Linked DNA regions of Oryctolagus cuniculus. Each later gene encodes a partner of the first gene's protein in a complex. Links are inferred from orthologs where the notes say so. Each region holds a gene or a part of one and is shown on either strand. Other genes may lie near its edges.

Evidence for each region. The genes of interacting proteins can lie anywhere in the genome.
Region 2: the proteins of ITSN1 (region 1) and FCHSD2 are in contact, whole or in part, in a crystal structure (PDB 6GBU), measured with the Homo sapiens proteins. The link is inferred for Oryctolagus cuniculus from reciprocal best matches to the Homo sapiens genes ITSN1 and FCHSD2. Residues at the interface, in NP_003015.2 of Homo sapiens: Pro1076, Ile1078, Gly1098, Leu1100, Leu1102, Gln1117, Ala1118, Arg1119, Gly1120, Lys1121, Lys1122, Arg1123, Leu1136, Ser1137, Pro1138; in NP_055639.2 of Homo sapiens: Tyr576, Gln581, Thr582, Asp584, Glu585, Gln602, Asp603, Asp604, Asp605, Gly606, Phe607, Val618, Pro620, Val622, Leu623.
Region 3: the proteins of ITSN1 (region 1) and AP2A2 are in contact, whole or in part, in a crystal structure (PDB 3HS8), measured with the Mus musculus proteins. The link is inferred for Oryctolagus cuniculus from reciprocal best matches to the Homo sapiens genes ITSN1 and AP2A2. Residues at the interface, in NP_034717.2 of Mus musculus: Asn841, Trp843, Ala844, Phe846, Ser847, Ser848; in XP_006536218.1 of Mus musculus: Glu308, Gly320, Val321, Glu324, Gln329, Gly331, Leu332, Lys333, Phe346, Gly348, Asn349, Lys350, Gly386, Ala387, Gln388.

The regions. Positions count from the first base shown.
Region 1 is NC_091435.1:11,213,116-11,216,615, reverse strand, and holds part of ITSN1 (intersectin-1), read left to right. Parts: intron 1-3,015; coding exon 3,016-3,221; intron 3,222-3,500. UniProt on the Homo sapiens protein: Adapter protein that provides a link between the endocytic membrane traffic and the actin assembly machinery. Acts as a guanine nucleotide exchange factor (GEF) for CDC42, and thereby stimulates actin nucleation mediated by WASL and the ARP2/3 complex.
Region 2 is NC_091432.1:64,227,226-64,230,725, reverse strand, and holds part of FCHSD2 (F-BAR and double SH3 domains protein 2), read left to right. Parts: intron 1-2,976; coding exon 2,977-3,060; intron 3,061-3,180; coding exon 3,181-3,358; intron 3,359-3,500. UniProt on the Homo sapiens protein: Adapter protein that plays a role in endocytosis via clathrin-coated pits. Contributes to the internalization of cell surface receptors, such as integrin ITGB1 and transferrin receptor.
Region 3 is NC_091432.1:473,252-476,751, reverse strand, and holds part of AP2A2 (AP-2 complex subunit alpha-2), read right to left. Parts: intron 3,027-3,500; coding exon 2,889-3,026; intron 1,405-2,888; coding exon 1,222-1,404; intron 859-1,221; coding exon 761-858; intron 1-760. UniProt on the Homo sapiens protein: Component of the adaptor protein complex 2 (AP-2). Adaptor protein complexes function in protein transport via transport vesicles in different membrane traffic pathways.

The DNA.
Region 1 (3,500 bases):
CGGGGGGCTCTTAGAGGGTCCGGGCAGTTTCTGTCTGGGAGCACCCAGACTGCGGCAGACACTGGGCAGATTCAGCTGGAGACGATGATGCAGGGAGATGAGAGTGAGGACCAGTGGGCAGCATCACTGTTGTTCAGGGTGCAGGTGATGAGCACCAGGGAAGACCTGGGCCCAGGTGGGTTCATAGTCCCGAGCAGGGTGGAAGCAGTGGGTGTAGAAGAGGAGCACACATGAGGGAGGCTGCAGAGGAGAAACAGCAGAATGGCCTCTCCGGGCCCGTACCAGCCAACAGGAAAGGAAGGGGGTCTGGGAGTGAGAAGGGGGTTCCACCTGGAAGGTAAAGAAACAAGGAACAGAGAAAGAAAAATCAATTATTAGTTAGAGGCAGGAGTAGGTTCTGCACATGTTAAGGTTAAGGTGGAAACAGGACATGCAGGTAGTCCTGCCAGGCATGCTGTTGGAGCACAGAGCTGGGGGGTGGAAGAGAGGACAAGACCTGCATTATATGAGTATAGGGGAGCCGCCTCCCTGGAGAACACAAATCCGAGGACCCGTGTGAGGTCATAAAGGAGAGGTAACAGGGGAAGAAGAGGAGCTGTGTCATGGAGGTGTTGCACCTCTCTCAGCTCAGTGTATAGCACGGGTCATGTGTCCCGTAAATATGACTGTGTGATGGAGGAGGTATGGGGATAAGAATACTTGTGGAGGTGGGAATTGTGTCCAGAAAGAGAGAGGTTGTTCTTATTATTATGGGCTATGGTCAAGGCAAGGAGTAGACCATTCAGTGCAGCAAGTAAAATGTCTTCATGACCTGAGATAGGGTAGGATGAAACCAGGTTGGAAGAGCAGGACAGGGGGAAATGAGAGAGGGCGCAGAATGGAGGCAGGGTGATGGGAAAGGCACAAGACACAAGACACAAGAAAGCTTGTCACCAGTAGGGAAAGGCATCAAAAACTCAAGTATCAGGAAATGTAATTGGTGTAAGGTGGGTCCAACATGAAACACACAGCAAAGACAGACGGGACTGGTTTTCTTCCAGATGAGGAGGGGGAAGCGAAATGGGAGAAGATGCAGTGGAGAAAGAGGGTCTGGTTGGGCTACCTGGTGTCACTGTCGGTGAGGACAGACTCCTGGGGGCCTGTGGAGTGTAGACTGGGTTTAGGAGTAGGTAAATTAGGAATTTGACAAAGAAGAACAAGAAATGACATGGCTGAACTTAACCTGATTCCGTAACTCATCTTTGCATGTTGTCTCTGCTTTCTTTGGCAATATCTCATAGCTGGGAATTAGTAAAATAGCATCTACTGCTGTTACTACTACTGTCTTAGCAGTGCTGTGCATAGGTTTAGCCCAACTTAATTAACGAGCATCCCTGTCTCACAGATGTGCGAACTGAAGTTTAAAGAAATTAAGCAGTTGTTGGCATCACAAAATTAGAGAGAGATCTGGGATTCAGACCCAGACCAGGCTGGAGTCAATAGCGCCCAGGCAGGGACAAGTGACCAAGAGGGTTAGACAGGCAGAAGAACCATGGGATCAGCAGCCACGCAGGCATGAGGTTCCTGTGAAAGGTCAAAATTAGAAGGCAAAGAATATTTGATCCTGGGGATGTCTGAAATCCAGAGAAACCTTCTCAGTGCTCTGAGGGTCTGGGGGGAAAGTACAGCTGAAATGGAGCAAGTGAGGGTGTTGGGTCTAAGAAAGCAACAACCTAAGAAGAACAGGTTTTAGAGGCTGCCAGCGTAGATGCTGAGCCTATTGGACCAGCTGTGAATCCTCCATTGACCTCACATAATCACAGCTTAATGTCAGTATAACTCTAGAAGGCAAGTATAAATTGGCTCTGAATTAACTCTCTCTGGGCATTTTCCTGAGTTTCTGTCCATTTGCAGATACAGTTGGAAACTGACATTGTTTTGTGTGCTTTCTGATGTGTTAATGGTCTTATGCTGTGGTTTTCAAAAGGATAATCAATGCCTCCCCCTGCCTTTCCAGCCTCACCTCCTACCACACCCTTCCCTGAGACTAGGCCACCCGCAGCCCCGGATTGTGCTCCTCTTCCCGGATCCTTTGCAGTGTACCACCTCAAAGCCTTGCCCTGTGCTGTGCCCTCGGCCTGGAGTACCCTTCCTCCGAAGCCTTAGCTATCAAAATCCTCATCCTGCAAGGCTCAGCTCAAATGCTGCCTCGTCCTCTGTGAAATGTGCCCTGATCTCCCCGGGCAGGTTCCATCCTTCCCTTCTCCCTGCTCCCACGTTGAATACCTGCAACCTTTTAGTAGCTTATTTCATCCTGCCGAGTGATGTACTTGGTTGTCTTTATCTGTTTCTTCTCCCTGAGCTGTGAGTTGCTTGCTAATGATACCATACTGTCCATTTTTTCACATTGCACTTTGGCTAATAAAGTACATTACCCTAAAGTTTTTTGGGGGAGGCAGAGATGGTGTTTTGTTCAGCTTTATAATCTCACATTAATTTGCATATAGATGTACAAGAAATGGCAATTACAATGAATTTCTGCTATTCAAACTCCTGTTTCTCTAAAAAGGAGCTAAAGCAAGCATGATCCAGTATAGGGCCTTTGTCCCTGTGTCCACCTAACCTGAACTATCAGTTAATTATCTCATGAAATTTCATGACATTTCTCCTCCACTGAAAACCCAAATCAGATTGAAAATGGGGGTGGGGGGTACCCGGGACCTCTTAAGAGTGAAAATAGACTCAGAATGTAAAAGGCACACAACCAGATGCAACCGAATAAATATGGCCCCCTGGCTTGTTTGAATAGAGAGTTCTAGATGTCCAGACAATGGCTTTGTGAATAGGCTGTCAGGTTTTTGCCTCCACTCCTGGAGATAAACAGTGAGCATCTAGCACTCAGGCCATGCTGAGACAGGGTCCTTTGTAGCCGTGTGTGCCCACGGCTTTTGGAGAAGAGGTGCCAGTGTTCGCTTCTGCCTTAATTGGTCACAAATCACAATGTAATGAGAGGTCCTTTATGTTATTCCACACAAGGGTGAAAAGGTGGAGGGCCTACAAGCACAAGCCCTGTATCCTTGGAGAGCCAAAAAAGACAACCATTTAAATTTTAACAAAAATGATGTCATCACCGTCCTGGAACAGCAAGACATGTGGTGGTTTGGAGAAGTTCAAGGTCAGAAGGGTTGGTTCCCCAAGTCTTACGTGAAACTCATTTCAGGGCCCATAAGGAAATCTACAAGGTATTTTTGTGTTTATCTGCTTCTATTTGATGAAAATGTTATTGGGCATTAAATTGTTGTTTGTGCTTGTTAAGATTCACATATGATAGGAGTTGCAGGATTATTTTATTCTATCTTCTGGATCATTCACCTGCAGAATTTGCAGAATATGAAATAAAAATGGAGCCTCTTGCAAATAAGTGTTCATTTTTTCTTCCTCTGTGGAAGCCTGTCCATCTTGTTTTCCTTGATTACTTATGCGGGAAGGAATTGTACTCTGAGACCTGAAGCATTCGGTTG
Region 2 (3,500 bases), on another chromosome or scaffold:
TTTCCAAACCTGATTTGATCTAATAGTTCTTAATCTCTGTCACCCCGTCCTACTGTCCAGTTAACATTTTACTCACCACAAAGTCAGTGTTTCACTTCCCCAGTTCACCGCGTTCCCGCACTCCCCTCAGCCAGTGCTATTGAGCCCCCCCCCAAAACATACGTTAAATTTCTTCACTTTTACTATCAACACTGCTACCGTGTTGGTCTAGGCCATTGCTTTGATAACTGTAAAGGAAGCGGGGGGAGTACTTATAATTGAGTCTTTCTCTTTCATATTTGCCTCTCAATAGCCCTTTTTCTGCACTGCAGCCAGAATTATCTTTAACACATGAAGGATGTTATTTTATTCCCCTTCCTCCCCCTCCTGAGACCCTCGTTAAGCTTTCCATCACATGTAGGAAAAACCCTGAGAACTCCTCCCTGCAGCCCATAGTGTGCAGCTGACTGGTCCCCTGCTAGTCCAGGTTTGTGTCCGCCCATTCCCTTACCCCAGCCACGAACTCCACATGGGCCACTCTTGCTGCCTTGTAGTCTTCAGAGGTGCCAGAGTCCTTCTTGACGTGGTTGCCCTTGCTGCTCCCTCTCCGTGGTCTACGGGGCTACACGGCTAGAGTGCCCTGGCAGTCAGTGTCAGAGGGGTCTTCAAAGCCTTAGAAGAATGGAAGGAGGAGGAAGCAACCAGCCCACTGTGGGAGTTTTGGGGAAACCTATGTGCTGGACCTCACCCCATGCATAATATTAATAGCTATTATTGTTTATTTCTAATCTCTTCCGTAACCCAATAAGGAGTGGGGGAGGCATATGGCCTAGAGTTTAAGATACTAGTAAGAGTACCCAGGTCCCATATTGTTTAGTACCTGGGTTTGATGCCCAGTTCTAGGCCCTGATTCAAGCTTCCTGATAATGTGGACCCTGGAAGACAGCGGTGATGCTCAGGTGGTTGGAAACTGGGATTAAGTTCCTGGTCCTGGCTCTGGCCTTGCCCAGCCCTGGCCTTGCAAACATTTGGGAAGTGAATCTGGATGGAAGCTCGCTCTCTCGCTCTCTGCCTCTCAAATTAGAACAAAACAAACCCTACAGGACAATATTATCAGACAAACCGCTCACTCAACAGATACTTGAGTATCTACCGTGTACTAGTGTTGTGCTCTTTTCTAGGTTCTGGGATATAACATTGATCAAAACAAAACAAAAAACAAACAAACAAAAAACCTCTGCTTTCATGGAGCTTATATTCTAATGGAAAAAAGAAAATTGAGTTTCAAAGATGTCTTATAGTTGCTTTCTCCTAGAAACAAACTAAAGCTGGCTCTAACCTCACAGAAATGTTATCCACTCATCCTATGGGAAAGAGGGAGAGGGTGTGCTGGATAGGAGGGCAGCCTGGTGGAAGCATAGAGGCCAGATATGCTCAGAGAACAAGGAGTGGAGCACCAGGCGACTCATGAGGACCAAACTCTGTAGGATCTTGGTTGCCATTACAAGGACTTGACCTTGTAGAGTGGAAGAATTGGTCATCATGCGTGGGGACGGTCTAGTCAAGCTGGGGTACACCAAACAACTTTCATGGGCCTCTGTGACTTTTGTGTGAGGACAGCAATCCATTTAAATATATTTTAATTATATAATTTTAATTATATAATATATTTAAATAAGACCTGTATTAAATATTTAAACATATTTAAATAAGACCTGTATCTCTCCTGCTTTGTGCTCACACACATTATGGACTGGTCATGTTGATACTTGTTAAGTTTTTCCCTGAAATTAGGAAAGCATTGCCTTTTGCTGGTCTATGCAAGGCATACTATGGCTTCAGAGTAGCAAAGAAATTTTCCTGGAAAAGCTGTCAAGAATAAGTGGACAGGTTTTTCCTCCCTCATATTTTTAGATAAGAGGTAATTTACTTAAAAATCTGGTTCTGGAATATTCTGATTGGTCGGCCTAAGGCTTCATCCAGAATCTAGGTTTTGAGTAAATGTTTTAATAATGTTCATTAAGTTATTCTTAGAAGTGACCTATTTTCTTGCTTTATTTTTGTTTGTGTAACGTGAAGGTATTTTATTTACACTGAGATTGTCAGTTTGAAAGACTGTACAGTCTTAGGTCATGGTTTGAACTGATCTTGGACTTGGGAAAGCTGTCAGGACTATTTACTAGAGAGCCGCGAGATGCATCCCGCCCCTGCCTTGGGAAGCAGAACTTAACGGATTCTCCAGCCTCTCTGCTGAGCCTCTGACAGTTTCTTCTCGGGTTTAGCGGTCTCGTGGGCAACATCGGGGTGGCTGGTACTAGCAGATTCCTGCTGTCAGGGCTAATTGCACCACCACAATATGTGTGTTTAGATAAGCCCAGTCTCCACACTGAAGTCAGAGCACAATAAATCCAAAGCTTGATTGCATTCAGTCACTTCCTGTCCCACAATTTCATTCTTTTGCGCACGTGTTCCAGTGACTCTGGATCAGCCCCAGGCTGTGCTCAAGCCATCATCTAATCCATGGACATTGCTCTCTGCACTCTCACAGCATGCACCTCCATGCAGCCCGCTGGTCACAGGTCCAGTTCGGCGCCATCTATTTTGCCTGTGCTTCCCACGTCATCATGGCTCTGTGTTTCCATCCCACGTTGACTTCCCCGTCTTCCAGGGAGTGGCAGGAAATGCAGGCATCACGTTGATCGACTTACCAGTAGACACAAGAGCTGGAACCAAGGGCCTCGACTTCCAGCGTGGTGCTCTGTTCACCAAACCTGATTGCCTCTTGAAGATTCAGTTTCTTCAGTTTTTGTCGTGATTTTATTTTGCTCCGTTTTTGAAAGTAAAACTTCACTTCATTATGATAGTTTTACAGCATTAAAATTTTTCTGTTTCTCAAAATCATTTCAGTATTTTGATCCCCAGTTTTTGTTGTGATCAGCGCACACCTGCTCCTTATCTAACCTTTTTAATTTTGTCCATGACCATCCCACACTGCAGGCTTCTCAACCAGATGAGTTGACCATTGAGGAGCATGAGGTGTTAGAAGTGATTGAAGATGGAGATATGGAAGACTGGGTGAAGGTATATTCCTTTGCTCATATCGCCCCTTCTTGTGACATTTCTAGGAATTTGCTTTGGTTCTTGTCCTGCCCTGTCCAGTTCATGTGTGCAAACCTGTCTTGTGACGTGTCTCTTACCCAGGCTCGGAATAAAGTTGGCCAGGTGGGTTATGTGCCAGAGAAGTACCTGCAGTTCCCCACCTCGAACAGCCTGCTGAGCATGCTGCAGTCCCTGGCCGCCTTGGACAGCCGCTCGCACACATCCAGCAACTCCACAGAAGCGGAGCTCGTCTCGGGCAGCCTCAACGGAGACGCCAGCGGTAAAGACTGAGCGTGGCACTCTCTGTTTGTCACCTTCGACCTAAACCGTGTTACCCTGCAGGTTCAAAAGCACAGCTTTATTCCTACCCCACAACATGTTTTCTGGTATTTGGCCCTGTTAGTCCTAGATAGTGGAACCCT
Region 3 (3,500 bases), on another chromosome or scaffold:
GGAGGCCGCACGCTGTCTACAATGGTGGGGGGCTTCTACACCAGGCATGGAGGCCACACGCTGTCTACGGGGGGGGCTTCTACACCAGGCATGGAGGCTGCACGCTGTCTACAGGGAGGGGGGGTGCTTCTACACCAGGCATGGAGGCCACACACTGTCTACGGGGGGGGGGGGGGGGGTGCTTCTACACCAGGCATGGAGGCCACACACTGTCTACGGGGGGGGGGGGGGGGGGCTTCTACACCAGGCATGGAGGCCGCACGCTGTCTACAATTGTGGGGGGGGGGGGGCTTCTACACCAGGCACAGAGGCCACACGCTGTCTACAGGGGGGGGCTTCTACACCAGGCATGGAGGCCACACACTGTCTACGGGGGGGGGGGGGGGGGGGCTTCTACACCAGGCATGGAGGCTGCACGCTGTCTACAGTGGGGGGGGGGGGGCTTCTACACCAGGCATGGAGGCCACACGCTGTCTATAATTGGGGGGGGGGGGGGGACTTCTGCACCAGGAACACGGAGGCCGCATGCTGTCTACGGGGTGGGGCTTCTGCACCAGGAGCCTCTTTGCTGCACATGTGTCTGGCTCCAGCTCGGACTCCATCCTCCCCTCCCCCTCGCAATCTTGGCCATGCAATCCCATCCCTGCGCTCCCAACTACAAGGAAAATACAAAGATGTGAATCCCAAGGGAGATGGGTGTTGGGACTCCCAGGCTGGCCGGGGGCGCCGGCAGCACAGCCCCTGGGCCGAGGGCCCTTACCTGGATCTGGGGTCCCCAGCGATCAGGTTTCCGAACTCCCCCAGGATGTAGCCGCCCACTTTGACCAGGTTCTCGTGGCACGCCGGGGCCTGCAGGGCCTGGAAACCACAGCCAGTGAGCTGGGGCAGGAGCTCCACATGGCACAGGGACAGGGACGGGGCAGCCACAGAGGCCGCCACAACGACCGGACAGACGCACAGAGCTCAGACCACCTTCCTGGAGGGCGTACTCGGAGAGGACTCACGCCCCAAGCTCCCAACAGCCTGACGCTAGAGTGCGGGACCCAGGCCGCCACGCGGGCCCACTGCAAGGCGTGGGGAGCACGTACAGCGCCTCGCCAGCAGCTGGGGGACCAGGGTGGGAAGAAGCGGAGGACGAGCCGACGTCCAGAACGTGGTGGAGCGAGAAGGGAGGCGAGCGGCGGCCTCCTGCACCCAGCCCCGGCGCGGCACGGGCCTCACCTCGAACACGGTCTTGGCGGCGTAGCCCTGCACATCGTCGCGGTTGATGACGATCTGGATGACGCGGTACCACACCTCCTCACTCACGTAGTCGCCCGCGATGCGGATCAGGTTCAGGATGGTGTCCACATACCACGTGTAGTCCACGGCGTACTTCTCGGCCAGGATGGCCACCTTCAGCACCTGCGGGGGTGGGCAGGTCAGGGCAGGTGCCTGCGGACCCCCAGCGTCCAGCCGGGCCTTCAGGACCACGTGGTCTCGGCAGGGGTCTGGAGGCGTGCAGACAGCAGACTGAGCCAGGAGACACGCCTCGCTGGCGTGACGGGGCACGCATGGCAGGAAAGGCCGCAACGGCAAAGGACGACACAGCCGCACCTGACACCACCTCCTCCTTAGCCCCACGGGGACCTGGCCTCCAGCCACCCCCACAGCACACACAGATCTGAGGCCACGCCTACTTCTGGCCCCCACGGCACAGCACATGCTTTAACACGCCTGGCACATCCCGGCACTGAATGAAACTCACCAAGCACTGTCACGTGCCATTTACACGCAAGTAAGACTTGAAAACCTCCACGACTAATCAACAACACATCACTCTAAAGCAGTCAAGTGCAGACAACTTAGAGCTGTTGAGACGCCAGCACCAGGGGCCGGGGGTCAGTGCCACCGCGGTTCCTGATCATGCAGCACGGGATGGCCCAGGATCCACGCGTGAGACCGCCAGGCTAGGTCCCCAGTCCCCGGCTTTGGCCTGGCCAGCCCTGGCTGTTGTGGGCATTTGGGGACTGAACTGGTGAAAAGGAGCACCCTTTGTCTCTCAAATAACAAAACCCTTTAAAAATACCCCCGGGACAACCAGCCCCAGAGCCCACGCTGCCCAACACAGGCCTCCAGGCCACGCCCCACACCCCACCTGTCCTGGAGCCTCCTGCTTGGGCGCAGCCCAGCCCCTGGCTCCACGTCCCACCCCTCCCGACGCACCCCTCCCGCAGCGTGAGAGTCGCTCCCGGATCCCTGCTCTCAGAAGCCGCAGGCTCCCGCTGGAGCTCAGCCAATGTGGCCACGATGCCCTGGGCACCGAGGCCCTCACTCCCACAGTGACCTGAGGCTGAGTCCCACCCGGCTTTCCCAGTCAAAGGCTCTCACACTGGCATCCAAAGAGACAAATGAGGCGATGCTTCTCCCGTAGTGGACAGGGGCTGCGGCTCCGGCAGCACTGACCGCTCTTAAACCAGGACGGCACAGCAGGCTCCCCACTGACAGCCCAGCGTCCACTGTCAGAACCGGGGAGCCCACGGGGGAGCTGGCGCCACCCTGCACACGCCTGCCCTGCCTTTCAGACCCCACCTCACTCAGTCTTCACCTTGAGCTGCCTGGCGTGTGCATCTGCTCCAAGGATAGGAACGGCATAGGGCACAGAGTGCACACACAAACCACGGCGCACGGCCTCTGGGTCGCCAGAGACAAGGAAGACCCCAGGCCGCGACTGTGACAGACACACCCGGCATCTACCACGGCAGCCCCGTTCGGACCCGAGTGGCAGAAGTGGCCGGCGCCCAGGACAGCTGCCGGGAGGGAGCCCGAAGTCACGCTGCAGACTGACAGCGCTGCTTAAGGAACTCAGCACACGGTTGGCTGCGGCCCGCCTGGCCCAGGCCACTCACGATCTCCTCTCGGATGGAGTAGTCGGCCGTCTCCAGGTAGCTCAGCATCTCGGCCACGATCTGCTGGGCGTTGCTGCGGTCACACATGGCGTACAGCAGGTCCACGGCTCGCTGCCGCACGCTCACATCCCGCTCCGTCTGGGGACAAGGGCAGAGTCAAGGGCGCAGGAGCAGAGGCTCAGAGGCCACGCCCCCGAAGGACATCGCCGACCGCCCCTACGCCCCCCCAGTCTAGACCCTCCTGACTCACCACCTCCTCCAGGAGCCCAGCAAGCTGTGGTCACCCCGAGGCCCCTGCCCTCGATTTACTGGCCCCCTCTCACTCCGTGCACTTGGACCAAGTGGTCCGGACAGCCGAGACTCTGTCCCACCATGACCTGCCTCCAGGGCCAGCGCTTCTGCGGCCCCAGCCCTGGCTCTGGTGGGGGTCGGGGGAGGGTCTCTGCACTATGTGGTCACAGAGCTGGTCCCAGGGCAGGCTCCAGGCCCCACCCAGGTCATTGTGACCAGATCCCCCCCTGAGGAGCACCTGCTCGGTGGTGGGACCCAGCTCACCAGCGAGCCCTGTCCAGTGTCTGACCCAGGAGGGACCAGAAACACAACAGAACCAGA